Linked DNA regions of Rattus norvegicus. The main gene of each other region encodes a partner of the protein of the gene in region 7 in a complex. Links are inferred from orthologs where the notes say so. Each region holds a gene or a part of one and is shown on either strand. Other genes may lie near its edges.

What was found.
Region 1: Prpf8 (region 7) and Prpf6 share a complex: the UniProt entries of both Homo sapiens proteins name them as parts of the U4/U6-U5 tri-snRNP complex. The link is inferred for Rattus norvegicus from reciprocal best matches to the Homo sapiens genes PRPF8 and PRPF6.
Region 2: Prpf8 (region 7) and Prpf3 share a complex: the UniProt entries of both Homo sapiens proteins name them as parts of the U4/U6-U5 tri-snRNP complex. The link is inferred for Rattus norvegicus from reciprocal best matches to the Homo sapiens genes PRPF8 and PRPF3.
Region 3: Prpf8 (region 7) and Lsm4 share a complex: the UniProt entries of both Homo sapiens proteins name them as parts of the U4/U6-U5 tri-snRNP complex. The link is inferred for Rattus norvegicus from reciprocal best matches to the Homo sapiens genes PRPF8 and LSM4.
Region 4: Prpf8 (region 7) and Lsm8 share a complex: the UniProt entries of both Homo sapiens proteins name them as parts of the U4/U6-U5 tri-snRNP complex. The link is inferred for Rattus norvegicus from reciprocal best matches to the Homo sapiens genes PRPF8 and LSM8.
Region 5: Prpf8 (region 7) and Lsm3 share a complex: the UniProt entries of both Homo sapiens proteins name them as parts of the U4/U6-U5 tri-snRNP complex. The link is inferred for Rattus norvegicus from reciprocal best matches to the Homo sapiens genes PRPF8 and LSM3.
Region 6: Prpf8 (region 7) and Lsm2 share a complex: the UniProt entries of both Homo sapiens proteins name them as parts of the U4/U6-U5 tri-snRNP complex. The link is inferred for Rattus norvegicus from reciprocal best matches to the Homo sapiens genes PRPF8 and LSM2.

What each region holds. Positions count from the first base shown.
Region 1 is NC_086021.1:189,118,965-189,122,464, forward strand, and holds part of Prpf6 (pre-mRNA-processing factor 6), read left to right. Parts: intron 1-350; coding exon 351-513; intron 514-3,500. UniProt on the Homo sapiens protein: Involved in pre-mRNA splicing as component of the U4/U6-U5 tri-snRNP complex, one of the building blocks of the spliceosome.
Region 2 is NC_086020.1:186,089,628-186,093,616, forward strand, and holds the start of Prpf3 (U4/U6 small nuclear ribonucleoprotein Prp3), read right to left. Parts: upstream 2,801-3,989; 5' UTR 2,691-2,800; intron 514-2,690; 5' UTR 466-513; coding exon 321-465; intron 1-320. UniProt on the Homo sapiens protein: Plays a role in pre-mRNA splicing as component of the U4/U6-U5 tri-snRNP complex that is involved in spliceosome assembly, and as component of the precatalytic spliceosome (spliceosome B complex).
Region 3 is NC_086034.1:18,792,057-18,796,231, reverse strand, and holds the start of Lsm4 (U6 snRNA-associated Sm-like protein LSm4), read left to right. Parts: upstream 1-1,375; 5' UTR 1,376-1,450; coding exon of another isoform or gene 1,451-1,534; coding exon 1,535-1,537; intron 1,538-4,175. UniProt on the Homo sapiens protein: Plays a role in pre-mRNA splicing as component of the U4/U6-U5 tri-snRNP complex that is involved in spliceosome assembly, and as component of the precatalytic spliceosome (spliceosome B complex).
Region 4 is NC_086022.1:48,270,952-48,274,927, reverse strand, and holds the start of Lsm8 (LSM8 homolog, U6 small nuclear RNA associated), read right to left. Parts: upstream 2,801-3,976; 5' UTR 2,658-2,800; coding exon 2,627-2,657; intron 1,711-2,626; coding exon 1,670-1,710; intron 1-1,669. UniProt on the Homo sapiens protein: Plays a role in pre-mRNA splicing as component of the U4/U6-U5 tri-snRNP complex that is involved in spliceosome assembly, and as component of the precatalytic spliceosome (spliceosome B complex).
Region 5 is NC_086022.1:125,576,950-125,580,984, forward strand, and holds the start of Lsm3 (U6 snRNA-associated Sm-like protein LSm3), read left to right. Parts: upstream 1-1,235; 5' UTR 1,236-1,335; coding exon 1,336-1,356; intron 1,357-2,037; coding exon 2,038-2,148; intron 2,149-4,035. Other genes in the region: Xpc (DNA repair protein complementing XP-C cells), read right to left, coding at 983-1,076. UniProt on the Homo sapiens protein: Plays a role in pre-mRNA splicing as component of the U4/U6-U5 tri-snRNP complex that is involved in spliceosome assembly, and as component of the precatalytic spliceosome (spliceosome B complex).
Region 6 is NC_086038.1:3,848,866-3,853,165, reverse strand, and holds the start of Lsm2 (U6 snRNA-associated Sm-like protein LSm2), read left to right. Parts: upstream 1-1,500; coding exon 1,501-1,503; intron 1,504-1,672; coding exon of another isoform or gene 1,673-1,783; intron 1,784-2,033; coding exon 2,034-2,101; intron 2,102-4,300. UniProt on the Homo sapiens protein: Plays a role in pre-mRNA splicing as component of the U4/U6-U5 tri-snRNP complex that is involved in spliceosome assembly, and as component of the precatalytic spliceosome (spliceosome B complex).
Region 7 is NC_086028.1:60,839,778-60,843,277, forward strand, and holds part of Prpf8 (pre-mRNA-processing-splicing factor 8), read left to right. Parts: intron 1-54; coding exon 55-171; intron 172-3,500. UniProt on the Homo sapiens protein: Plays a role in pre-mRNA splicing as core component of precatalytic, catalytic and postcatalytic spliceosomal complexes, both of the predominant U2-type spliceosome and the minor U12-type spliceosome.

The DNA.
Region 1 (3,500 bases), on a different chromosome or scaffold from region 7:
AGGGGATCTGATGCCCTCTTCTGGATATGCATCCAAGCAAAACACCTGTATGCATCAAATAAGAATAAGTAAATCGGAAAAAAAAACAAAAAACAAAACAACAACAAAACACAGATTAGTGCTGTCTCTCAGAATATTCTAGCACTTGTGTTTTGGAAGGTGGGATGATTAGGACGAATTTAGAAAGTGTTAATAAAACCAACAATGTCATGTACTCTTCTGTGTAAACTAGGTATATCTGATAATGAAAGAAAACCTCTGTGAAATTCTTTGAATTTTAGGTAAAAATTAGAGCTTCCCAGGCAGTCATACCTGCCCATGTTCTTATTGTTCTTTGTTTTTTCCCCTAGAGTGAAGATGTCTGGCTAGAAGCAGCTAGGTTACAGCCTGGGGACACAGCCAAGGCTGTGGTGGCACAAGCTGTCCGTCATCTCCCACAGTCTGTTAGGATTTACATTAGAGCAGCAGAACTAGAAACAGACATTCGAGCAAAGAAGCGTGTTCTTCGGAAAGGTAAGCCTCTCTGGGAGGTACCCCTTAAACTGTGCCTTGAAGGTGTTCTTGCTTTATGATGTTTTGTTCTCTTGGAGAGCAGTTCACTCTTCCTTTGCTCAGACGTTTTGCGAGGGTAGTTAAGAAGCTGGTAAAGTTGCCAGTCCTTTTTTCTGGGCTAGTTGCTTTTGCCCTTGGAGTTCTATAGAGAATGGACTCCAGTAGAAATGTTCCCACACTGACTGAAGGGCACCGTTTTTACCTTTCTATAGTGTGTGAGCTCAACAATCACTGTCATCCAATTTTTCCTTATTCATAATACAGGAACAGGTTTGTGACTCTCTAAGTATATAGTCCCTCCAGGATAGCTTGTGTTCTGGAAATGGAATTTTGAAGTGCACAAAGGTAGAGAAAGAAGTAGTACAGAAACACCACTATTACCATGTGCACACACCAAGCAAATGCTAAGTATGTGCCATACCGGAGTTAGGATTTTCTTTTCCCTCTTGTGTGGGTATCAAGGGTTAGCTCTCTACGTGCATTAGTGACCAAGTGACCTAGACCCTGTTGAGGTCTGGATCATCAGTTGGTGCTTTTGCTTCTTTTTATTATAGGCGCTCTCTCTCTCTCTCTCTCTCTCTCTCTCTCTCTCCATCTCTCTCCCTCCCTCCCTCCTTCCCTCCCTCTCTCTCCCTCTGTGTGTGTGTGTGTGTGTGTGTGTGTGTGTGTGTGTATGTGTGTGTGTCTATCTCTATTTCTATCTATCTCTCAGATAGAATCTTACATGTAGCCCAGGCTAGCCTCAAATGCATAATCTTTTTGGTTTTGCTGTGTGGGTTTTGCGTACAGGTACTCAGTATCGTGCCATATTCTTCTCCTAACTTTATACTTGCAAATAGAAACACTAAATAAGACTGAAGACCCTCTGACCTGTAAAATGATCTCCTCAGAGAATGGAGGCAACTTGATTACCCCCTGGGAGTCAGTGCTGGTCTCACAGCTTGACTGAATTGTTCTAGGCCTCTTGGTGGCGAGGTTTGGAGAAGTAAAAGTAGGGCATGAAGCCTATGGGAGCTTCTCCAACAGCATTGCACATTCAGAGACCTATGTGCTCTGTTGTATAGGTTAACGGATGCACGTGGTGTATGTGGTATTACTTCATGTTAGGTTGAGGCCTTGACTTACAAGGCATTTTTGTCTTCTGGTGCTCTTAGGAGCTTTGGGAAACATCCAGCTAGTCTTCCAGGCACCATGCTGACTAAAGTGAGGAACAGATAGAAGGCCCATCCTGCCGAATCTGTGTCTTAGTTAGGGTTCTATTGCTGGAAAGAGACATCATGTCCATGGGAACTCCCCCTGCTTCCTGCCTCCTGAAACAGGGTTTCTCTGTGTAACAGAGCCCCGACTGTCTTAGACTCACTTTTTGTAGACCAGGCGTTTGCCTCTGCCTTCTGAGTGCTGGGATTGAAGGGATGGCCCTGCCTCACCATAGCAACTCTTATAAAGGAAAACATCTGATTGAGGCTGGCTTACAGTTCAGAGGTTTAGTCCATTATCCTCCTGGACAGAAGCATGATGGCACGCAGGCAGACATGGCGTTGGAGAAGCAGCTGAGAGCTCTATATCTGGATCCACAGTCAGTGGGAAGAGACTGTGACTTGAGCTTCTGAAACCTCAAAACCCACCCTCAATGAAACCCTAACTCCGAAAGGCCGCACAGGCTACACTCCAATAATGCTACTCCCTATGAGTCTGTGGGGGTGGGGAGGGCATTTTCATTCAGACCATCTCTCAGTCGCCTCAGTGACTTTAACCCTAGGTCGGGGCTTTTTCCTTCTTAGTCCTGCGGTCCTAAGGCTTTTCTAGAGCCATGAATCTGCTCGTAGGGTAGCAGACAAGTTAGCTTCTAGTTGTGGGAAGTGTCTGCCTGTGACTCAGTCATCCTACTGGAATCCACGCTGTACTTGCTTTTGCTCCACCCATCTTTTCTGCTCTATTTCCAACCTGACAAAGCTGCACGTCTGCCTTGCTCATGGTCAGGTGTGTTCGAGGTTTTTAGCCATTCCTAGTTCCCTGCTGGGATCATCTTCCTCATAGGTGAACAGATGTGCAGGAGAATTCAGCTCTCTTCTTTGTCGAGGATCAGCACAGTTGGTGCTGGTGGTGTTGGATCTGTGGAGTGAGAAGAACCCAGACTCACTGTTGTTGTCTGTCCCTTTAGGACTCACCACATGGCAAAACCCAGAGTACTTGGCAGTAGGCAGGAGGGTGCCCCTGTAGAGTTCAGGCTCTGAGATTAGGTGTCATTGCAGTAGGAGTACTGGGTTTCATCATAGAAGGGAAGTCCCAATGTGCCTCAGACCTTGGGACCCTGCAAAATTCCCGCAAGGGTAGGTAGGCCCTTTGGCTTTGTATAGAATGTCTCCCATTTTTCTGGCATGCACATCTCAAGTCAGCATAGTGATGTACACCTAAGGCTTAGTCTGTGTGCAGTGGCGCAGCCGGTCTGCTCTGGCTCTATGAGAAGGAAAGGAACATTGCAGAGACTGCCTGCCCTGCTAGATGGCACAGAGGCCTAGAGGAACGAAGCCCTCACACATAGCAGGAGAGTTCTGCCACTGTTGAGTAGGCTAAACTACTCAGCAGGCCACACTGTGTTTATGTGGTTCCCTCAGAAACCGGCTTTATGGTTGGTTACAGATCGCCTTCAAACCCAGCAATGACAATGACATCACCCAGAGGTGACAGGGACCACGCGTGGCAATTGCCAGACATTCATTCATAGCGTCCATTTGGTTTACCTCTCACCTTTACCTGTGATCGGTTACATCACAGCTTAAATAAAAGGCAGATCCTCTTGACCTTTGCACTCTCTCTTTTCTCTCTTTAACCCCCTTCGTCTTCGTTGCCCCCTTTTGTCCCCTTCCTCCACAATAAACCTCTCTCATGTGGAACTACACTGGCCTGGTGTGGTCTGCCATGATTCTATCACAACATTGGTGCCGAAC
Region 2 (3,989 bases), on a different chromosome or scaffold from region 7:
TCCTCGGCTAGTGAGCTGGAAGCCAGGCCGGGATCCATGAGACCCTGTCTTTTAATAAAAAAGGGGGAGGAGGGAGTGGTGTGTGCTTTTAATCCCAGCACTCAGGAAGCAGAGGCAGGTGGATATCTGAGTTTCAGGCCAGACATCGCTACAGAGGAAACCTTGTCTCAAAAAAACAAAACAAGAAAACAACAACAAAAGGAGAAGGGGCTAGCCCCACCTTTCCTTTGATGCTCCAATAGGAACAACCTGGGGCAGTTTCAAATTAGTGTTTGGAATCAATATACTTGTTAAGTCAGAAGAGTCAGAGAGGTACACACCAGCCGCCTTCTTTTTGTCCATGCCCTTCCCCACACAGTTCAATGCCGCTGTGACCACCGTGGGCTCTGAGAAACCCAGCACTCTCTTCACTGTCTTCTCTATCCATGGTTTCAGCTCATCCAGTTCCCGCTTAGACAGTGCCATTTTGGAGGAAACAGAGACTAAGAGCTCAAATCGGACAAAGTACTACACCTAAAAGAAACCAAGCAAGAGTCAGAGAAAAGGAAAACAAAGCAATCAAGATAACAGTATAATAAGGGTGCTTTCCCCACTCCTATTTTCAACCCCTAGGCATGTCTCTCCATTTGATATGGAGAATACTTTCCCTAAAACCAAGCTTCAAAACAGGAGGAAAGGGTTCCATTAGCTTTTCTGAGTTTTTTTTTTTTTTTTTTTGGTTCTTTTTTTTTCAGAGCTGGGGACCGAACCCAGGGCCTTGCGCTTCCTAGGTAAGCGCTCTACCACTGAGCTAAATCCCCAGCCCCAGCTTTTCTGAGTTTTGAGATAGGGTCTTACAATGTAGCTCATGCAGAACTCAACACTTGGCAATTCTCCTCCACTTACCTAGTGAGGAATTCCGGGAGCATACCACCATGCCCCACTCATTTGATATTTTGATTCTAACTCAGCATCAGTCATCAACACTATCTGAAGAATAAACAAACTAGGAATAACCTAATCTGAGGAATGGGTTCTAACTTCTGACTCTGTCATATAAAGGATAGGCAAACAGAACATCTGAAGAGTCAATCTAGAAGTCAACCTTACTATTACGTCTACTCTGGAAGGCATTCTCTAACCCGGCTTTGACCTAAAACATCTTTAATGGATACAAATAAGAGGTTTTATTCAAGTCAGTCCTCCTGTTAAATCTCATAATCTTTAAGAATGCTGTCATTTCTCTGTAGATTTATTCATGGTTGTAAGCATTCTATATGCCAAAATGATTCTTTATTACTTAATGCAAATTGGTGTAAAATTTCAACACTATTCATGCTTACATTTGGGTACTCTTAAATCTCAAACATCTTCACCAGCATAAAGTTAACTTAATTTCTGATTTTCTTCCCAATGGCTGTATGTCAGTCAATTGACCTTAACTTCCCAGCTGACCTCCTCTTAGCACTGCCCTGTATCGTAGTGCGATCTGGGAAATGACTCTTTCAAGGTGTTTAAAGACATCTAAAAGATGCCACCTCAAATGACCATACAAGTCTGTGATCCCAGCACAAGGGGAATCAGGAGTTCAAGTCCAGCCTTGTCTACGGAGTTCAATGTCAACTCTTGGCTATATGAGACCTTGTCATAAAACAAAAAGATGCAGTCTAATTAGCTCCTACAATTGACAGACTTATCTCTCAGAAGATCTATCAATGCACAGTATTTAATACACCTGAATGAAGCTGAAAGGCTGTTCCTCAGTGACAAGTCTTATGAATAATCCTGGGATTGCTTTTTGGGCCATCATGAGATAGCAGTATACTGCCTATCAAAAAGAAAGCAAACACAGGCACTAAAGGTGGAGAAGAAAGCCCACTGAAGAGAGGATATAGTAAGCACTACCATTTATAAGCCCTTAGGTAAGCAAGTTAATCACCAGAGCCTCAGGATACTCATCTTAGAAAGTGGGAACATCTGACATAACACTCCATTCAGTAAATACTTAAGTTCCTATTACTTGTTAAGCAGAATACTTACTGCATGTAAAGACACATACAGCAGTGAACAAAACAGCCAAGAATCCTCGTGTTAATGAAACTTACGACCCACTACAATTGAGTAATAGACTGGAAAGTTTAAGCAATTTTCAAAATCCAAAGTAATAGGTGAAACACTAGAAGACTGGATGTGAGCCCAGGCAATATACTGACAAATAGATGTCTTCAAATTCGACCCGAATGTGCAAACGAAGCAGTCAATGGATAAGAAAGTTCCAATCACTACAGTTGTCACCAACCAAATAACTATAATAGCGAGGAGGCGTCAGTGTCGGTGTGGGCCTGGGGGGTAGAGGGGAACGGGAGGAAGGCAGAAGGCTGTCTTCTGAATGAGCAGAAAGCAGACTCTCATCTTCTGAAGGAATTCCTTACTTTTCTAAGCTACAAGCCCCTGAGTCCCCCATGCTCCCTCTTTACTATCTTTCCAACTGGCCCCCGCTTCAACCGAGTCCGACCTAACTCCTCACCTCAGAGCAGGTCTGCCCACCCTGCTCCTTCCCGCCCCCGCCCTTTTCCTTCAGCAAGCCCATTCTGATTCCGTCCCCCAACAGAACCCGGGGTTCCTCTCAGCCTGCTTCCCGCCGAACACTCCCGCCCTGTCCAGCCGCTCGGACCGAAGGCTATCCTCTCGGGCGCAGGGCCACTACTCACCTCACAAACTTCAGCCCCTGAGACGGAGCCCGAACGTTACACCGGAACCGGAAACCTTCCGGTTGCCCTATGGCCCGCCGTCGCTACCGCCAGAGCCACCGCCACGCTGCGGTCCCTATAACACGTGACTTGAGAAGGCGGGACCTGAGCCGCGCAGCCGCGGTATCAAGGTGCCGGCGGCCGGGCGCACGCGCGGCGGGATCCTAAAGCTTAAGTCCGCTCGCTGACTTGCCGCGGAGCAAAGCCAACGTTAGTCCAGTCCTGATTGCCGGGAGCAGAAGTCGTTTGGCAGCACATTCCCTTGGGTCAAGAGTTAGTGCGCTAACCTTATTGCTAGAACTAAAAGCAAGGACATCCACATTCGTACTCAAAGTGTCCTTTATAGTAAAAACAAACAAAAAAAATATTAGGGGTTGGGGATTTGGCTCAGTGGTAGAGCGCTTGCCTAGGAAGCGCAAGGTCCTGGGTTCGGTCCCCAGCCCCGGAAAAAAAGAAAAAAAAAAAAAATTGAGCTGGAGAGATGGCTCAGCGGTTAAGAGCATTGACTGCTCTTCCAGAGGTCCTGAGTTCAATTCCCAGCAACCACATGGTGGCTCACAACCATCTGTAATGGGATCCAATGCCCTCTTCTCGTGTGTCTGAAGACAGCGAGAGTGTATTCACATAAAATTAAAAAAAAAAAAGTAAAACCTTCATGATAGAGCTGGAGAGATGGCTCAGTGGTTAAGAGCACTGACTATTCTTCCAGAGGTCCTGAGTTCAATTCCCAGCAACCACATGGTGGCTCACAACCATCTGTAATGGGATTTGATGCCTTCTTCTGGTATGTCTGAAGATAGCGACTATATATATATATGTATATATATATATATATATATATATACATATATATATATAAATCTTTTTTTTAAAAACCTTCATGCTATTGGAAAATTCTAATTTCCATCTTACTAGGAAACAACTTCACTTTCTAATGAGTCTACCGCATATTTCTTCTAGTTCTAGTTTCTGTTGGGGTTGGTAAGATGGCTCAGTGGGTAAAGGTGCTTGCCACCAATTCTTGCAGCCTGAGTTCAATGCTCAGGACCCACAAGGTAGAAGGAGAGAACCGATTCCTGAAAGATGTCCTCTGACTCCCTCAGGTGACTGTGGTGTGTGCGCACACACACAAGGTACATAAATACATGTAATCTGTAAAAGTCAGTTTTTGGCATAGTGGTGGTGTATAGTCCTTAATTCCAGCATTTAGAGAAAGGCAGGCAGATCTCTGAATCTGGGGCCAGCCTGGTCTACAGAGTG
Region 3 (4,175 bases), on a different chromosome or scaffold from region 7:
AAAAAAAAAAAAGAAGAAGAGCCCTGGGTAGTGGCGCCCAGGGAGTCTCCTGGGGCAGAGGAACCGTACAAGTGAGCTCATCACTGACATTCTGCACCAGGCCTTCCAGAAGCTTGGTAAAACAGCTGTCCTGCTCGGGACAGCTCAGGGCAGAGCTCCGATTCCATCGCCAGTAGCCAAAGGAAATAAAAATAAATAGAAGGGCAGGGGAGTTGGATCCATGGGTAAAAAAGGCTGACTGGTGAAAAGGCTAGACTGATTCCATGACAGACTTCAAACTGGCAGTTAAGGAGAGTAGGCCTAAATCAGTTTCCAAGAACTGGGCAATTCCAGGCAAGTCCAGGCCTCAGAAGCTGCCCTGCCACCTGGCCTGAGGCAAGGACAATGGCTGGGTCAACAGCAGTTTCCAGACTTCCTCAGCAGCAGTTTCCAGCCCTCCCCAGTAAGTTTCCAGCCCCCACACCCCAGTAATGGAATGTCTGTAGAGATGGACCCAACAGATTAACATAGAGGTCACCTACCCCAGAATTCCCTAATGTGCTTTAAATCAGACTTCCAAGTTCACTTGGGTGTCTATTCTGGTAATGGGAGACCACAGCATGCTGGACTTCTGCAGAATAAAACATTCATTGCCTTTACATACTATTTGAATCCACGGTATCATTCTTCGGTGGCGAATCATGGACCCTAACACTGGGCAAGCATGAGAACCTAACTTTGTATCTCAAGACGACAGATTAAAACACACCTGCAATCCCAGCACCAAGATCTCAGGAAGTTTGAGACCAGCCTGGTCAACACTGAGTGTTCCAGGCCGGTTAGGGCTGCACAGAGAAACCCTAACCTCTTCCCAAAATGATAACGATTAAAAAAAAACAAAAACAAAAACAAAAAAACAAGGTGCTGGCTTGGTAGCCTACAGCGGCCATGCCAGCACTGAAGAAGTTGCGTACCAGGCTATTGCGAGTTCATGATCAGCTTCAGCTGCCACAAGAACCCATCTCAAAACACGAAAATTCCAGCGATTTGTTTCCTGTCGCCGGGGAACGCTGGCCCTGACGTTCGCGTTCAAGGATTATATTTGGATTGATAAAGAGAAAGAGCTCCATAAGGGCGAGGACGGAAAGATAGGAGCGCGAAGAGGGTATGAAGCGGGTTTCCCCAGCCCAGCGCGATTCACATGCATTAGCCAGTTTCGCCCACAGTGTGGCGCCGAACCAGTCAGGAGTGCACATCTGCGCAGGCGCCATTTCCCAACATACACCATGAGTGGGCATGAAGAGCACCGCGGCCTTTTGCGTCACTCCGGTGTCACGCTTTACGGCCGCTCCTCAATCCCACGGTGGGAATACGACGCGATACGCCGCCGCGTTATGTAGGCACCGCCTTATCCCGTTCCGATTGGATCGGTCCATTTAGTCACTCGCTGATTGGTTATAGTTTCTGCCAGTCTTTTTCAGGCTGGAGCGCGCGGTAGACTGCCGGTGGGAGTGCGAGTGGCTGTGCAGCGGCGGAAGTTATCTCTGCAGGGAAGATGGTGAGGGCCGCGAGGCGGCGGGGCGCGCGCTCAGGGTCTTCGGGCTGCTGAGAGATGGGGAAACCTGAGGCCGGAGGTGACCAGTGTCTCTCTAGGGTCCCAGTCCGCCACCGTTGCGGATTTATCTCTTGAATGGACAAGGTTTTTTGCGGCCGGAAGGACTATGATCGCTTCCGGAGCTTGTCACCGTTTTTGATAGGATTGCTGCGTTTCCGGGAAGTGGGCGGACCTAAGGGCTCACGTGGGTTCCATTGCCCACTTGATGCTTATCAAGTGTCTGACCTCAGCTGCCTACGCCTTTGGCCGAAAGTCCAACCCAGATTGAGGGATGTTTCTCTCCCTTGGACACATAGCAGGTCCTGCTCGGGAGGAAGGAAATTTTTTCTCCTAGTTCAGGCTCAGGCCTTCCCAGTTGTGGGACCTGACATGATGGAATAGAGGAGGCCAGGTTTCCCTGCTGCTCTATCGAGGGGCGCGTTGGCCCAAGTTGGGAGAGCTGGACATGCCCATCTCAGTTCTTGATGGTAGAATATTTGGTTTTGTTTTTTGGTTAGGCTTTCTGATCTGAACTTAACGTAATCCAGGCTAGCCTCAAACTCATCCTCTTGCTTCAATCAGTGGAGTATGGAAAGGACACGTGTATACCTCCATGTTTGGGTTAGGACGGGAGGCAGATCTCATATAGCCCAGGCTGCTTTTGAACTTCCTTTGTAATCACGTATGACTGAACTCCTGATCCTGCCTTTACTCCAGAGCGACCCTGGGTTTTGTGGTGCAGGACCTCAGGGCCTAACACATGCTGTGTAAGCACTCCCCACTAGGTGTACCCTGAGCCCCTGAGACTCCTTCAGTCTATTCCCACCATAAAGCACCCGCCCAGCCTCTGAGCCTCCCTGAAGGGATGGCCAGGTGTGTCCAGGACTGGACACCCTCTCCACGCAGGTACGCACAGACACTCCCATATCTCTGCGGCCCAGCTGGTACAGGAGTGTCCCAGCCGAAAGTTTCTGAATTCGGAGCCCAAGGCTTGATCCTCCAGCCGTCTCATCTACACGCTGGATCCCAGAGAGGCTGGAGGGTGGCTGAGAAGGAATTTCCTTTCCTGAAACTGCTCCTCTGATGGGAGGTGCTGGGACTGGAGCCCAGAGCCAGTGGCCATAACACCTGCAGGTGCAGGTGCTCAGTGTAAAGCTGTATCTCCCCACTCAAAAGCCTGTGACTATCCCAGCTCCACCCTCCCTGTCCACCCTGGCCCGTTTCACTCTGAGCTTTTTTTCCTTCGTTTTGGGAGGCCTGCCCAGCTGGAGCACGGACTAATTACTTCTCTATGAACCCCATTCCTTCCATTCCTCTGTATCCCACTGCATGCGCAGATCTGGGGGTGGCGGCCTGTCCCTACACCACACTTACCTGTGGCTCTGGACAGGATGCACCTGTGCTGGGTATCTCCACCCTGCCTGTTCAGCAAGTGTTTACTGCCCCTCCCTGCTGCAGGAGAGCCCGCGCCCACACTGACCTTCTGTCTAGCCAGGGAGACTGGTGCTGATCACCCTGTAATTAGAGAGCGGCCCCTGCTGTGGTGGGTGGAAACAGGCTGGCAGCCCAGGGTGGCCATTAGGGGCCTAGTCACAGGAGGGGACATGCTCAGCAGGATTGGGCAAAGAAAGTCTGGGGAAGGGCACCCTGGGAGGTGGCTGGGGCCCGGGCAGGAGGGACAAAAGCTCAGTAGTAGGCTGGACCTTACCATGGCTGCCTCACAGCCAGACTAGCCTGTGCTGGCCATAACAGCTCCAGAAGAGCTGTGTATGTGCGCCTGTTCTTGTTTAGTGATGTTTGCCCCTGAGCCTTTGCTGTGCCTTGTCTTCAGGAGTTTGACTGTTCTATTTGTTCCTTTATTGAAACAGGGTCTCATGTAGCCCAGGCTGACCTCACATTGTAGCCAAGGATGACCATGGCTCCAACTCCCTGGAGCTTAGCCACAGGCTGCCAGACTGTGCCTCTTTTTCACTGTTTATTTGAGGGTCAGACTGGACACCATTGTCACTGATCACCAAGGCCACCCTCCCACCACCCATTTTCACAGAAGCCATCCTCTGCCTCCTACCCTTTCAGGAAGTCTCTGCAGGAAATGGGCTCCAGCCTCACTTCCTGCCACTGAACCCCCACCCCCACCCCTAGCTCTTCTCAGGAAGGGCCCTGTGCTGCAGGCTCCCCCAGCCCTCTCGTGACCCAGAGTCACCAGGCTGGGCACGATGGCCCCGAGGATCTGAGTCCTTGATGTTTGTTTCTTCTGTTTTAAATGATTTATTTTTATTTCATGTGCATTGGTGTTTTGCCTGCGTGCATGTCTCTGTGAGTGTGTTGGTTCCCCTGGAACTGGAGTTATAGGCATTTGTGAGCTACCATGTGGGTGCTGGGAATTGAACCCAGGTCATCCAGAAGAGCAGCTGTGCTCTCAACCACTGAGCCCTGTCTCCAGCCCCTTGTGATATTGTTGTTGTTGTTGTTTGTTTGTTTGTTTTGCTGTGTGACCCAGTTACCCTGGAACTTAGATCCTCCTGCCTCTGCCCCTCAGTGCAAAAATTAAGTGCCTGGCTGTATTTTGATTTTTGGGTGAATTTTGGAGACATGTCTAATG
Region 4 (3,976 bases), on a different chromosome or scaffold from region 7:
CAAAGTAAGTCCTCTACTTTGTTGTAAACAATGTTATGACAAACTAGTTAACACTTATAGTTAATATTTCATCTCCTTACTGCCAACACTGTGTCCTGTGTATATGTCTAACTGAATTCTATCAATACTATAGTAGATATATTAGAACTGAAATAATCAGAAACTTAAGTTGAAGAAAACAAGCAGGAAAAACTGTATGGATTTAGAAAAAGAAAGTATCATAGATGCTCTTCAAGTTTCTGAAGAAATAGCTTATTTTCAATTTAGCTGGTTAATCTCTTGGGTCTACCATTAAATTCTCATGTTACAAAAGCTATAATTATATAGAATCAGAATAAAATAAATAGAAACCTGGAGTCTAGAAACTGGAAAGAAAAACACGTTAGACTATTTACTATAGCAGTTAGTAAATGGTGGTTATCATAAACCCCCCCCCAAATCCTCTCACCTTCATTTTACACAAAACTATTTTATCAGACAACTTTGTGATAAAGATAGGAACTAATCAATGTCAATGCTTTTGTTCAGCTTTTCTTCTATAAACATTTTGTAACAGAAACAAGAAATTAAAACTAAAGGCTTTAAAAATCAACTATTTTCAAATTAGCTTTTAACATTAATAGACTTCCTAAGTGCCCATAGTTTACAAATATATAGACTATGATCTGACCACCACCACCCCCTCATAACAAACTACAAACAAAAAATCCTACATATTTGTTTCCTTTATTAAGAACAAGCAAAGGAAGTAACCTTGGTTTTGGAATTAAACACAATTTATGACACTATACAGTTCTGTCACTTGTCATACTGACTCTCTGGGAAAGTGACTTATTTTGTCTAAGCTAGATTCCTAATAACAAAAGTGGCAATTCTTCACAAGGCTGTAATGCAAACTAATTGATATACAAAATCCTTAACACATGATATGCATTTAGTCTATGTCATTTTGACTGGTATTGCTCATGGAAGAGAAGAGTCAAAAGGATGAAGAAGAAAATTAAGGAGCTGGAGAGATGGCTCGGTGGTTAAAAGTCCAAGTTCTTCCTAGCACCCACACACTGTGGCTCACTCTAGGTCTTGTGGTCTCCTTGTGTAGTGTATCCTCACACATATGGCAGACGCTCATAAACACACACACACACATGAGCAAAAACAAAATTAAATCTTTAAGAAAAAAAAACCAGAATGGAATAACATGGGATTAATTTACAGTCATGCAAGAAATATTTCAATCAGAAATGGTAGGTCGGCCAATGGTACCGAAGATTGTGCCACCAGTGAAGTCATAAATTTAAGTTTCCAAAACCACTTACTATATTCGGAAAAATGATGAAATCACTGAAAGCACATTTCCTCATCGATAAAGAACCAATTAGGGCACACACATGTAAACTGTTTAAGGTCTCTAAGTTAAAACAAACGAAACGGAATAGAAGGATGCAAGAAGAAAACAAATCAGTTTATCACACAGCTCTACCTTTCAGCTCAGGTCTTCAGGGTTGGCCAGAGAAGTTGGACAGGCAGCCAAGAGATGAAGTTAAATAGCTGAATCATAAGAACACCGGAATATTGGTACGCTGTGGTGTCTGAACATTGGGCCAGAAATGTTACCTCAAATGTACAAGCAATAAGCCTCAGGAAAGAGGAAAACGAAAATGTCACTCACCACGATCATTCTGCCATCAGAAGTTATTACTGCAACAGTTCCTGAGAACTGAGTCAAGGAAAGTATTTCCTAAATACAAACTGAAAACTTTTAGCCTAGAAAGGGAATGGTTCCAACTACTTAAAAAAGAGAAAGAATTAAGATTCAACAGAGTCACTGCTCGGAGGAATAAAACGTAAGTTTTTAAACTTGTTTCAACTGTACCTTGAAAACAGTTAATTAAACGATAGAGGGTATAGAATGTGACTGTTTGCCTCTGGTTTAAACAGCAATGTTTCCAACCTATGACACTGAGCAGGTTAGACTCACTTCTTAACCTTTAGAATAAAATTTAGATGGGAGCTAATCAATGTTGGATCTCTTTATGCATGGTAAGGCCCTTCTCATCCAATTAATGCCATCAAGTACCAATAATCCTTGCATCATTAAAACCTCTCTGTATTTAACTAGGGTTTCCTCTTTGAGCATATGCTAGGTGCAATGTTTTTGCCCTGACTTCAGAACAGCAATTCTATCTTAAAATCTCTGGGCTTTTTAAAAGCCATTCGTCACTCTCCAAACACCATCACAATACGATTTATTTTTATTCTACCGCATAGACATTTCAAGCGGAGGCATGGGACCCGAAATGCACATCTGAGGAGCATCTTCCTGTTCATGCTATCCCCGAACAAACAAGACTGTTAGGATCTACGAACTGGGAGTCCTTAGGACAACAGTTCACCTTAGTCCCAATGTTGGAACATATACAATCAACAGGCTACGTGCAGGAAAACTCTAACTACACCGAGATCTGTGCTGTGGGTGGAAAAAGCCACGGGTCCATCCGGGAGCTCCCTCCACGAATCCCGACCCCCGGTCCTCCACCCACTGCTCACTGCCCACCACTCCGGGCCCCCGTGTTCCCTCCCGCCCCCGCCGCGGCCTGAGCCGTCGCAGCGGCCCGCCCGAGGATACGGTTGATGTAGTTCTCCAAGGCAGACGTCATGCTGCTGGGCCCGGAGGTTCCGGGAATCTGAGAGGAATCAGCAACAAGGAGACAAAACACCGCCCGCTAGAAACACGTACAGATTCGCGCCCGCTGGCGAACGCAAATATCGCGAGACTCTGAGGCCTCAGCGGTGACGAATCAGTAAGAGAAAGGAGTCGGACAAACAGGAAACGGGGCGGTGCTGACTAGTGGGCATGCGCAGCGTGTTTCCGCTGGGCTTCCGGGTGGCGATCGGAAGGGGAGACAAAGGCGGGGACAGGCGGAAGTGTAGAGTTGTCACCGAAGGCGGACTGGAAGGAGACACTGGAGGGTTCTACCGGACGGGAAGGCACTGTGGTAGTTACTAAAGGTAGTGCGGAAAGACTCTTTCTGCCGGAAGACACACGAGATGAAGATGTTTCCATTGGCTAGAGTAGGAGAGAGATTCTTTGTTCTCATAGGCAATGTAGATGCAGGGTGCAAGGAGCTCTAGATTTCTCCAGCATGAGCCAAAAAAGTTTAAAAAGCCAAATAGCCCAGTACAAAGGGAGCATTTTGTAGCTCCACGATGTACATTTTCGGAGAAAACAACTGTATGAAAATATTTGTGTATTCTGAATTTGGCTCTTCGTGTCCTTAAACGAGCTTTTTTAAAAAACGAAAGCCAAATAGCTGAAGGTGCAGGAGCCTGCCTTAAGAAATGGATTTCATCGAAGTCTCGGGACTTAGCTTTCCTCAGGGTGAAGTTCAATAAATAAAGGCTACAGCCCCACTGTGAAGGGACTAATTGGAGAAAAGTGTAAACTAAGCACCGGGTTTGATTCTGATTCTGTCCCTCATTGCTGTCACTATTTTATGTCACTTCAACTCTGGACTTGAGTTTACTTAGTTCCTACTACAGAACTATTATTTTTCACATGTCTTGGTAAAAATAGGACTGACATTCTCCCTCATGCCTCGTGTGTGTGTGTGTGTGTGTGTGTGTGTGTGTGTGTGTGTGTGTGTGTGTGCAACTCACACTATGCAAGTCTTCCAAAGTCCTGTACCAATAAGTTATACCTCCAACCTCCCCCTACCCTGTCTGCTCCAATAATGTTTTATTTATTTATTTAATGGTGCTTTCACTTCAAAACTGGTTGTTAGGAATCTGCACAACTAATTATGGAAAAAAGCAATATTTCTTTTTGTTGTGGGTTTTAAAATCTTTCTTAGCTGAAGAATTATGGCTTTGGAGTGATTGAACTAGCTGTGCTTTGCTTTTAGTTAGAGACAGTGACAGTAATTACATCATCAAACTGTTGGGGAGCTAAAAGAATTCCTTTAAAGCTTGCCATACA
Region 5 (4,035 bases), on a different chromosome or scaffold from region 7:
GAAAAAAATCAAAATAAGAGTATCTGGAGAGGAGACAGAGTAGAATTGTGACAACCTCCAAATCTTGTGGGAAACAAGCTAAGAGAGGTAGATGCTATACTTGGAGAGCATAAACCTAAGGAGGTTTTAAGTAAGAAGACAGAGGCATAAGGTTTTGTTGTGGTTCTACATCCATTTGGCTGCTAGATGATGGGGCAGACAGATGAGAGGAAGCCAGAAAAGAAGCAACCTGAAGTTCATTTCCTTAACGATATGGACAAGATCTCTAGCTATAAAATTAAGAGAATTAAGTACAGATTTCGGTGGTTCCAAAGCTGAACTGGACTTGATGCCGAACTGGCAGTTAAGAAGAGATGTGTTCTAACGTGTGTTTTAAAAGGGATGATTTATTGAAATAGAACAACTGGGGGGATGGATATGTTTAAGGGGAAAGATGGATCTTGTTCAAGATCTAGATTAAAAACTCATTCCAGCCAGGGCGTAATGGTGCATGCCGGTTAATCCCAGCACTAGGGAGGCAGAGACAGGCGGATCTCTGAGTTTGAGGCCAACCTGGTCTACAAAGCAAGTTCCAGGACAGCTAGGTCTACACAGAGAAACCCTGTCTGGAAAAACAAAGCAAAAAACAAGAGTAACAGAAAGCGCATCCTAAAAACCCGGAGCTGGAGTTACACTGGATGGCAGTCAGGAACTTGATGAGAGAGATCTCTCACTACAGGTCTCCCTCGGTCCTGGTTTTTGGCATCTCCTGAGATACCAGGCAATTGCGAAGCTTTCTCCAGCTCGGCCTTCAACACTTGCTATGGGGCTGAACTTGGTACTAAAGGTTAACCGAGGGGTTAAGACAGATAGCAGAGGCCCTCGGGGGCTGGAGGGGGGACGCATCGGGCCGTAAAGACCTTGCGGTAGACACAGATCCGCTCCGCCGCCCGCCCCAGCCTCCGCCACCATCGCCTGACATGCTGCAGACTTGGCCTCTCACCCGCATCGCTCTCCTCAGGCCGGGTTGCTTTGTTGTCCTCGGCTTCCTGGCCGCGCTTCCTCCGCTTTCCGCCTGCGGTACGCTTTCGGGCCATGCTAGCCAGAGGCGTTCCTCCGGACAACCACGCAGGACTGCCGAAAGTCTCCGCGTGCCGGCTCCGCCCCGAGGCGTGCCATGCCTGGCCGCACCCCCAGCTCCGGATAGGACCACGCCCTCCAAAAAATCCCGCCCCCATGCAAACTACAAGGGCGCGAAGGGACAAAAATAGTGTAGTTCGCCTTCCAGTGCGTGGCGGCCCAACGTTTCCTAGTGTCTGCTCTCGCGAGAGGTGGAAAGGGCGCAGCGTTTGAAACATGGCGGACGACGTAGATCAGGTAAGTTTGTCCTGGGGCGTCCGAAGAGGAAGTGCTTTCGTTTCTTAGCCGGGCTTGCTTTTTCCACGCTTCCCGTGGAATGGCCCTTTTCTTTTTCCCGAGTTCCCACGGCCTTCCGCAGCCAGGCCTGCTCCTAAAACTTCCGTAGGCCCAGAGTTTCTCAACCCGCCCATCTGCCCATCTCGCTCGTCGTCGCCCTTTCTCTGTAGAATGCAGACGGCTGTGGATATCCCATCTATGGGAGATACGGTCGGGATTCCGACAGAAAGAGTACTGTAGCGGTAGGACACCAGCATAGTAATACGTGTAAGCACCTGGCACGCAGGCAGTGGCTCACTTGGAGTGTGTTACGAGGGGAGGTCAGATAAAAGGTGCAGTTATGTGAGATAGAGAAACTGCTAGAGATGTAGTATATAGAAAACAAGCAAAGACCTGGCACACAGTGTTTCTCTTCAGAGCATGTTGTTTTAAATGTGTTCTTTATTTAAAATGTTCGTTCCACAACTAGAATATAAGTTCCTTAATAGGGATTTATTGGGGCTTAGTGGTTAAGAGCACTTTTGGCTCTTGTAGACAACCCTGGCTGTGTACCAACACCCACATGTTGCTTTCACTGCTTAACAGTGATTGAAACACCACACTACCTCAGTGTTCCATTACTAAGCCTTCTTCTCTCATCAGCAACAGACCACCAATACCGTAGAGGAGCCCCTGGATCTTATAAGACTCAGCTTGGATGAGCGAATTTATGTGAAAATGAGAAATGACCGAGAGCTTCGAGGCAGATTACATGTAAGTCTGTTAAGTTATCTCAAAACCAGATGCTCCCCTGTCATCCCTTCCTACCTCCTTACAGATAAGAACTGCAACATAAACTTATTTTTTTTAATTATACAATGACTTTTGGGAGTTGGAAATTCCTTTATTGGCTTTTAAAATATTTTTTCCTTAACCAGAATGTTTTTTAGAGAGGGATGGGACTCCTGTGAGACCAGAACAAGGCATCTGATTGCCCAGAGCTGGAGTTACAGACAGTTGTGAGCTGCCTGGTGTGGTTGCTAGGAGCCAAACTCAGGTCCTCTGCAGGGATAACCAGTGCTCTTAATTTGAGCATCTCTACAACCCTGTAGAACACTTTTGTTTTCTTCAGCTTTGTCCTCTGTTTATTTAAAATGAATAAACTTCTTTTTGTTTTAGACAAGGTCATACTATGTAACCCAGCTAGCTTCAAACTCAAGATCCTCCTGCCTCTCTCTCCTTAGAACTGGGATTTTAGACATGCACTACCACTCTTGCCATTGTCCTATGTTTTTAAAAGTTATTGGACAGGGTGTTTTGGTTTTCGACATATAAAACTCTCCTTTGACATGAAAAAAACTAAATAGCAGGCCAGAGATCGTTCACCTAGTATGTGGCAAAGCCCCTAGCACTACCAAAAAAAAATTAAACACCATAGAAATCTAAAGGTGAAATTCCATTTTCTCTGCACTATTCAAAGTTGGCTACATAGTCGTCCACATCTTTTCTGCATGTGTATATGCTGTCTGTGTTTGAAGGAGGATCCTAGTGAGGTACGGTGGCATGTGCCCATAATTCCAGTACTTAGATGACTGAGGTAGGAAGGTCATATATTTGAGGCCAGTCTGGACTACATAGTGAAACCTTGTCTGGTATGTACACACCTTTTCCACACGGTTTCTGTGTGGAATGATTATGCAGCTGACACAGTTGCCCAGGATTCTCTATAAGGCTTCGGTCACTTTTTTGTTTTTCCAGCCTTAAAACTGCATTGTGCACTTTTACATATATTGCTTGTGCACATTTATGATGCCTGTGGAATTGGTCCCTTGAAGTAGCATTATTGTGCACTTAGGGTTTTGTCTCTTCTTGTTACTTTCCTCAGAGCTGTTGGTTTACAACGGGAATTGGAATTAAGTCTTTTTAGTTCAGGCTTAGAAATAGCCCCATACTGGCACCCACAGAGCCAGTGTGGGGGACAGTCTCAGTCTTTCTTCTATGAAGAAATTTTTAGTTCTTTCATGAAACCTGAGGATAAAGAACCTCTGTGACTTGGAAGGAAATTGGACTGTTGATCTACAAGCCAGCATTAGGGAAACAGCGGTGCCAGTTTGGTGAGAAACATGGGATGGAGCTAAATTGAAAGGCTCTTCGGCACATGGAATGACCCCAGGCTAGACCATCGCCTTTAGTTTGGAGGTGTCTGAAGCTCTTACCTCTGTAGTAAGTGGCCCAGGTTTCTGTTTCCTCCCTGCTCTCCAGCTGAACATTTTGCTCATTTGTGTAGCTGCCAAGCAGTTCCTTCTCAATGTGGCGCCTGGCTATTTTTAATCTTGATATGAGCAGGCAAAAGCACTTAGCACTTTGTTAGAAGAACATATAAGTGGGTTCTGAACAAGCCCCAGGAGGTTTGCTGTTAGTAAAAGGGATGAACTTTGGAGGTTGCACTAAACACTGTGGTTGCAATCCTTCCTGCCTGAGCCCACAGATGCCAAAGCATGTTAAGCTCTGGACAAGTTATAAATGGGCAAAGTAAAGGTGGGACAGATGATTGGTGGGTAAAGTTTGAGTGCTGAAGTTTAGATCCCTAACACCTGTGGAGACCCCAGAACAAGCTCTTGCGTTCAACTTAAAGACACTACCTTAATACATACGGTGGGG
Region 6 (4,300 bases), on a different chromosome or scaffold from region 7:
ATAAGGGCAAAGTACTTGAATTTGTGTAAGTTGAGCATATCCAACAATTTTTTTTTTGGTTTTGAGGCAGGTCTGCCTCAAATGTCTTTCGTTCATGCTGCCTACATGACTGGAATTACAGAACGTTACACCTGCCAGGAAAAATATTTTCTAATTCTCAGGCACCCTGAGCCCATAGGAAGCAGCTGCTAAATGTACTGACTGCTTCTAACCAGTGACAGCCTCTTTTAGATTCAGGTGTTAAAGTTTCTGTTGAAACTCGGTAACATCTTGCTTGGTAATCATGATGGATCCAGCTCTGAACACAGTGATGTGCACAGGTGGAGTGGGGTAGGTAGGACAGAGAGGGAAGACACATCTTAGGGTCTTGCTGGCAAGTCAGTCTAGCTGAATGAACCTGTCCATTCCAGGATCAGTGGCAGATCCTGTCTCAGAAAATGAGATGGCTAAGTCGTTAAGGACATATGTTGCTCTTCGGCAGGACCAGGGTTTGATTCCCAGCACCCGTATGGTGGCTAACAACTATAACTCCAGAGGATCCAACACACTCTTTTAGTGTCTGGGAACACTGCACATGTGGTACACAGATATACGTGCAAGGAAAAACTCACACATATAAAATTTTAAAATATTAAGTAAGTGGAAAGAACAGCCAGCATTCATCTCTGGCCTACACAGGCAGGCATGCTCCAAGCTTCACCCAGACCCCCAGGAAACCGACTTTTTTGGTATCATGCAATCAGCAGGCCTAGTCTCTCAGAATTCTCACCTGTGTACCATGACTGCCTTGCACCAACAGCCAGCCTCGAGAAGACAAAATAGCAAGTGTTTTCCTATTTATCCAGACATGATATCTACAGAAGCTATAACCTAGCAACTTCCCATTTAATTACTAGTAAAAATAATACGGCTGGAGAGATGGCTCAGCGGTTAAGAGCACTGACTGCTCTTCCAGAGGTCCTGTGTTCAAATCCCAGAAACCACACGGTGGCTCACAACCATCTGTAATGGGATCTGATGCCCTCTCCTGGTGTGTCAGAAGACAGCTACAATGTACTTATATATAATAACTCAATCTTTTTTAAAAGAATATGCAAGTCATAATTTTCTCAATCTTCCCAATAATTCTCAGTAGAAAGCGTAGAGTATGAGCAAGTCACCCGGCACAGAGAAGAATCTAAAAAATTATCAGGGAGGCGAACTACATCCAACGCGCAGCTGCTATGGCCCACGCACGCGCTCGGGAGGGAGGAGTTCCTTGGGAGGAAGTGGGAGACAGGAAGTCCCGCCCTCCTCCCGGTTTGGCGGTCCTCTCTGCTCTGCCCTACTCCGCTCCCTTTGAGCCCAGATTCAGCCGCGGTTTTCGCGGTTCCCCTTGCGCCTGCGTGATCCTGTCCTGCCTCACGCGCGGGCTCGTGCTCCGGCTCCCGCCCTGCCTCCGGCCCGCAGTCCCCGGCGCCTTCCTTCGCGGTCCAGGCCGCCCCTCGTGGCGCCAGCACCATGGTGGGTACCGTGACGTCAAAAGGGAGCGCCGCCGCCCGCGGCGGGCGGTTCGAACTGTTCGGGTCTTGGTTGCGCTCTAGTGTTTGTTGCCTTGGGCTGTAGCTAAGCCCTAGGGTTTTCCTTACAACCTCAGGGCCCACACCCTGTGTGAGGAGACTGCTTGGAACCAATGGTTTTTTTGGGGAAACTTCCAGCAAGTCCAAGAGAAAGCCCACGGGCGCCGGGGGAGAACGGAAAGCTAGTCTTGCATTTCCGTGCTGGAGATCAGGATTTTGTGAGGGTGCGGTTGGGAAGCGGTCTCGAGCAGGGAGGTGGTCGATTCGGAGAGTGGGTTCTGGCATCGAGGGGTGCAGCGCAGTTATTGTCTCTCTGTGGCCCCAGGAATTGCAGTCTCTGTTAACGGATTGTTGATGGTGGTGAAATTTTGAGAACTACTAGGTGGGGCCAAAAGGACTGGTATTTCAAATGCCGTCACGGGTTCCTCCTCCCTGTCCCTTTTCATGTGATAGTTCCTCCCTCTTTTCCAATAGCTCTTCTACTCCTTTTTCAAGTCCCTTGTGGGCAAGGATGTAGTCGTGGAACTCAAGAATGATCTGAGGTAGGTCTTTATTTCAGCGAGTTGGTGGAAGGTGGGAGGTGCCTGGTGTCCTGATCGTTTTCGTGGTTGTTGTTCACAAAGCTATTTTAGAGCAGAGGGGCAAAACACAGAAGAAATATCTTGTGTCTTGAGTGTAAAGATTAGTTTAAGAGTGAGCCTGGTGCTGTGGCACATGCGTGTAATCCCAACGCTGATGCAGAATTGTGAATTCAAGGACAGTTTGGTCTACATATGTCCAGGGCCAGCCAGAGTTACACAGTGAGATACAGTTAAGTAACATGTATGTGCAGTCCTGGATGTCCCGGAACACACAGATCCGCCTGCCTCTGTCTCCTGAGTGCTAGGATTTGCCCTGCTGTATCATTTGCTCTTAACCATTCAGGAGTGGATTAAATGCTGTATCACTGGAAAGATGTTTATGGCTTCTTGTCACATCATCCATTAGAGTCTACTTTCTTTTTTTGTTTGTTTGTTTGTTTATTATACATAAGTACATTGTAGCTGACTTCAGAAACACCAAAAGAGGGCATCAGATCTCATTATAGTTGGTTGTGAGCCACCATGTGGTTGCTGGGATTGAACTCTGGACCTCTGGAAGAGCAGTCAGTGCTCTTAACCATTGAGCCATCTCTCCAGCCCCTAGAGTCTACTTACTTTCTTTCTTTCTTTCTTTCTTTCTTTCTTTCTTTCTTTCTTTCTTTTTTCTTTTCTTTTGTTCGGGGCTGGGTACTGAACCCAGGGCCTTGCGCTTGCTAGGCAAGCGCTCTACCACTGAGCTAAATCCCTAATTCTAGAGTCTACTTTCTTAATAGTGCTTAGAAAATTATAGGTGTCACTGATGTCTATTTTTTTTTTCATGTACTGGATGGGCATGCTCAACAGGTGAACTTCATTTCCAGCCCTCGTGTTTCTTTTTAAAATCCTTTTATTTGTAGACTCTTGAAACCTTTGAGCACAGGTCAGTGCTTGAGAGCCTTGATTCTAAGACAGAACGTGGTGTTGACAAGCAGGATGGTTATGGCCAGTGTGGGCAAGTGAGAGGCTGGCCCAGGCCGGGGTGGAGAGTAGCTAAGACTTTTTCTAGTCTAAAAGTCAGACCACACAAGTGTTCTTCCACAGAGCAGTGGGGGTTCGTAGAATGTAGAGAGTGAAGAAGTAAAATGCAGGATCTGGGGTTGTTAATTAAAATTTTAATTCCTCTGCACCTCCGTGCAGTGGGTAAATATAAGATGGGTAACATGGTGTGGGAGCAGTGGCTTTGATAACTGTACTCAGGACTAGAGGGTGGGGGAGTGTAGCATTAATAATAGTTAATTTCAGCTGCCATGTATATGTAGGTCTCTGGCTCCAAAGCATAAATGTTTACAAGTAACAGCTATTGGAGCTGCAGAGATGGCTTGGTGCTTTAAAAAGAGCTTGCTGCTCTTCCAGAGAAATAGAGTTCAGTTCCCGGCAGCTACATTAGGTGATTGACAACAGTTTGTTGGGCTGAATACAACTCCTTAGAACTCTGGCTTCAATGGATCTGATGCCCTCTTCTGGTCTCTGTGGGTAACTACATGCACATACACACAAATAGTAAAAATCAGTATTTAAAAATAATGGATGTTTCTGGGAGTCGTGCAGATCAGGGCTGACATTCCAGTTCATTTGTGTAAGTTTTGGTACCTTACATGACCTCTCATAAGTCCTGGATGATACTACTTTGAAAGGTGATTAGCTGAGTGGTTGATGGCTGTTCATCCCTTAAACCTTTAAACCTAGCCCTCAGGAGGCAGGGGCAAGGGCAGGGGCAGGGGGGAGTTTGAAGCCTGCCTTATCTACAGAGCTAGTTCTAGAACCCCACAGGGAAACCCAGTGGGCAATGGCCATGAGTAGTGCTCCTAGCTGTAGTTCTAGAACTTCAGAAGTGGAGGTAGGAATGCCAGAAGTTGGAGGCCAGCCTGGGCCAAGTGAGAACCTGTCTTAAAGTGGAAATACTAATATTAAATGGAGCATAGGCCCGGCCTGACTACGAGCTTCTGATGTGTTGGTGTGAGGACAGACTGAGTCTGAGGTGCTTTATCATTTCCACCTCAGAACTTACAGGGGCTGCCTGCTGGCTTCAGGGCCTAGAGTTCCTCCCCCCTTGTCACTGTAGTTCTGATTTTCCCTCTGCTGATTCCAGCATAAATGAATGCTTCTCTCCTCTTTGCTCCC
Region 7 (3,500 bases):
CACCAGCCCCTCTGGAAGTCTCTGGGACAAGTTAAAACTGGCTTTGCGGTTTAGGTTACTAAGGAGCGGACGGCTCAGTGTTTCCTGCGTGTGGACGATGAGTCAATGCAGCGCTTCCATAACCGCGTGCGGCAGATTCTGATGGCCTCTGGCTCTACCACTTTCACCAAGGTATGTGGGCATAAACCTTCGTTTCCCTGCCAGCCCCTGTGTCTTGGCATCCCTTCAGCTCCTTCCTGGTTTGGATTCCCACTTTCCCAATTTTGCCTAATATTCTAATCTCCATGTATTATTTTGGGATGGCAACTTAGAATGTTAGATCTATTGGGGTTTATTTCTGAGGATTCCCTGCAAGAATTTAATAGGCTGTATCTGTGGGGTTTTGATGATTTTTTAAATCAGAGCAAAAGTGGAGTCTATAATTTGAACAAAAGTATCTATTTTGCATTTTCCCTTGGCTTGTTAGCTAAGTCAAACAGCCTATATTTTAGGGAGTAGCATAAAATGCAGGGTCTTTTGTTTGCATTTATTTTTCCTTAGGTTGTTCCTGGGGCCCACTTAAGACAGCTGGAGATTTGTATGTTTAGGGTCTTGCAAGGCCAGATCTCCCATGATGAAAACTTTTTAAATGTGGCTCTTAGGAATTCACTTCTCCTAAGATAACTTCTGTGCTGTAGGTATTTTGCACATACTAGATACCAGTTGCAAAGTAGAGCCCTTTCCCTTTGAGAGAGAGGTACATGATATAAGAACCACTAATATGTGATGTTTATGGAGTCATTGCATTATCCGAGAATACTAGAGTTCATGAGTTCAGATCCTGTCTGAGTGGAAGTAGAAAGACTTCTACAAGAAACAAGGTGAAGGCGTTCAGCTTTAGCAGAGGTGTGGAAAGGTACTTAATTAGTACGGTACTTGCATAGCTATAAGAAGTTTAAGGTTGATGGCTCAGCGGTTAAGAGCACTGACTGCTCTTCCAGAGGTCTTGAGTTCAAGTCCCAGCAACCACATGGTGGCTCACAACCATCTGTAATGGGATCTGATGCCCTCTTCTGGTGTATCTGAAGATAGCAACAGTGTACTCGTGTAAATCTTTAAAAAAAAAAGTTTAAGGTTTATTGTAGTAAATTGTGGAGTTGGAATTTTTCTAGATCCCTGGAAAAAAGAATTTTAGCAAATATAAAAGTATAAGGCATTCTCTTCTTTTTCTTTTTTTTCTTTTTTTTTTTTTTTTTCCAGAGCTCGGGACAGAACCCAGGGCCTTGCGCTCGATAGGCAAGCGCTCTACCGCTGAGCTAAATCCCCAACCCCGGCATTCTCTTCTTTAATTTTATAATTTTTTTCCAAGGCATAGTTTCTCTTCATGCAGCCTTGGCTGTCCAGGAACTTGCTCTGTAGAACAGGCTGCCCTCAGACTCACAGAGATCCACCTGCCTCTGCCAGCCAAGTGCTAGGATTACAAGCGTGCATCTCCACCACCAGGCAGTTTTCTGATTCTGGGGTGAAGGTTGAAAGCTTAAGGATGAGTGAGACTGTCTGGAAGAGTGGAGAGAGGAGAAAAGACAGATAAGATAAGGGTGATGGGAAGGAAGCTCTGAGGTGCACTGACCAGAACCGAGCAGGTATTTAACAGCCTCAGTTGCCTGAACAGTTTAGTAGATAAGACTGAATGGGAGCCAGTGACATTGGCAGTTAGGACGTCATTGGTGACCTTAGAGCTATTTCAGTGCTGGGATGCAGGCCAGATGGTTTGCCAGAACTGGAGTAGGTGCGTTAGAATCTCCCTTTTTCAGAGGGAGCTGCACATCAGGACAGGGCTTTTTGTTCTATTTTGGGAGTTTTTACTTTTATTCACTTTTTTTTTTTTTTTTTTTTTTTTTTTTTGAGCTGAGGACCGAACCCAGGGCCTTACGCTTGTTAGGCAAGCGCTCTACCACTGAGCTAAATCCCCAACCCCTTTTATTCACTTTCTTTTCTTTCTTTGGTTTTTTTGTATAATTTACTTGTATACAATGCATTATAATCATATTAACCTCTTTCATGCCCCCTTCCTGCTGTCCCTTCATTTAACAAGGTGTGTGTATGTGTGTGTGAAGAGACAGAGAGACAGGGTGGGGGTGGAGTGTTGTGCAGTTCCATAGCCCTCTTCCGATTCTTTGAGGCATGGTCTCTTCTGGAGCCTGCAGCTCTAAAAGCCTGTGAGCTCAAGCAATCCTCCTGTCTCAGCCTTGCTCAGAGCCTTATGGAGGAGTGATGAGAGCTGAGGGGGGAACTTCACAATTATGGTTAGATGTGCATGATCTTAGGACTTTGGGCGGTCCTCCACCCTCAACTTGATTATCTATAAAGTGAGGATAACCATAGTTCTTAGCTCAGAGAACTTTTATGAAAATTAAATAATATGTACAGTAGTCCAGTAAGCCATATTATTTTATAAAGAGCTTTTATTAATTAGATCAGAGATTACGATAAGAGCATAATGTTGGATTTGAACTTGTTTACTTTTTCTCCTTTGCTTTTTGTTCATTTGTTTGCTTGCTTAAGATAAGCCTTATGTATAATCGAGGCTGACACTGAACTCTTGATCCTTCTGACTTAGCCTCCAAAGTACTGGGATTACAGGCATAAGCCATCTGACACTGATAACAGGCCTTAACAAGTACACATTCCCACACATATGTATATATGTGCACTGATACTAACAGGTGTACACATCATATATAGCTACACTAGAAGACCCCAAAAACCACCTCCACCTCCACCCCGTTAATAGAAAATCTCGAGGAGGCTGGAGGTGATTAACCCTAAGGTCAATTAAGCTCCTTTTCTACCTCTTTTTTATTTATATTTGTCTTGTGTACTCACAAGTATACACGTCACGACCTATGTGTGGACGTCAAAGGACAGCTTTCAGGAGTCAATTTTCTCCTACCATGCAGGTTTCCAGGGTTAAAGCAAGGTAGGTCCTTCTGATTTGGCAGGAAGAACCCTCGACTCCACTGACCTGATTTGTCTTTTCAGCTGTTTATTTTTGCTATACTGGGGATTGAACTCGGCCAGGCAGCTGTTTTACCACTGACCTATATTTTGAGATTAAAGTTTCCCTGTGTTGCCCAGACTGGTTTTGAGCTCCTGGGCTCAAGTGATCCATTGACCTCAGCCTCCCAAATAGCTGAGACTATAGGTGTCCGTCACTGCTGTGGCCTTTAGTGTCCTCAGTTTCCCTTTCCTCCAGTTTTGTTAGAATCATGCTGTCACTCCCACCTGGGTTACCACTTCTGCTTTAGGTGTGTGTGGCACATTTAGCTCAAGAGTACATATGACCCTTCTGTTTAGTCGTGGTCCTAACTGGCACACACAGACCTCGATGAGGTCCAGGAAAACAGCTATGTACCCCTTAGGTAGTCTGACTGACAGCTCTGTTTGCTTTGTAAGGTCAAAGGCTGCCTTCCTGATTAGTTCTTTGTCTTCCTGCAGTCAGCAGTGCTGTTTCCTTCTTT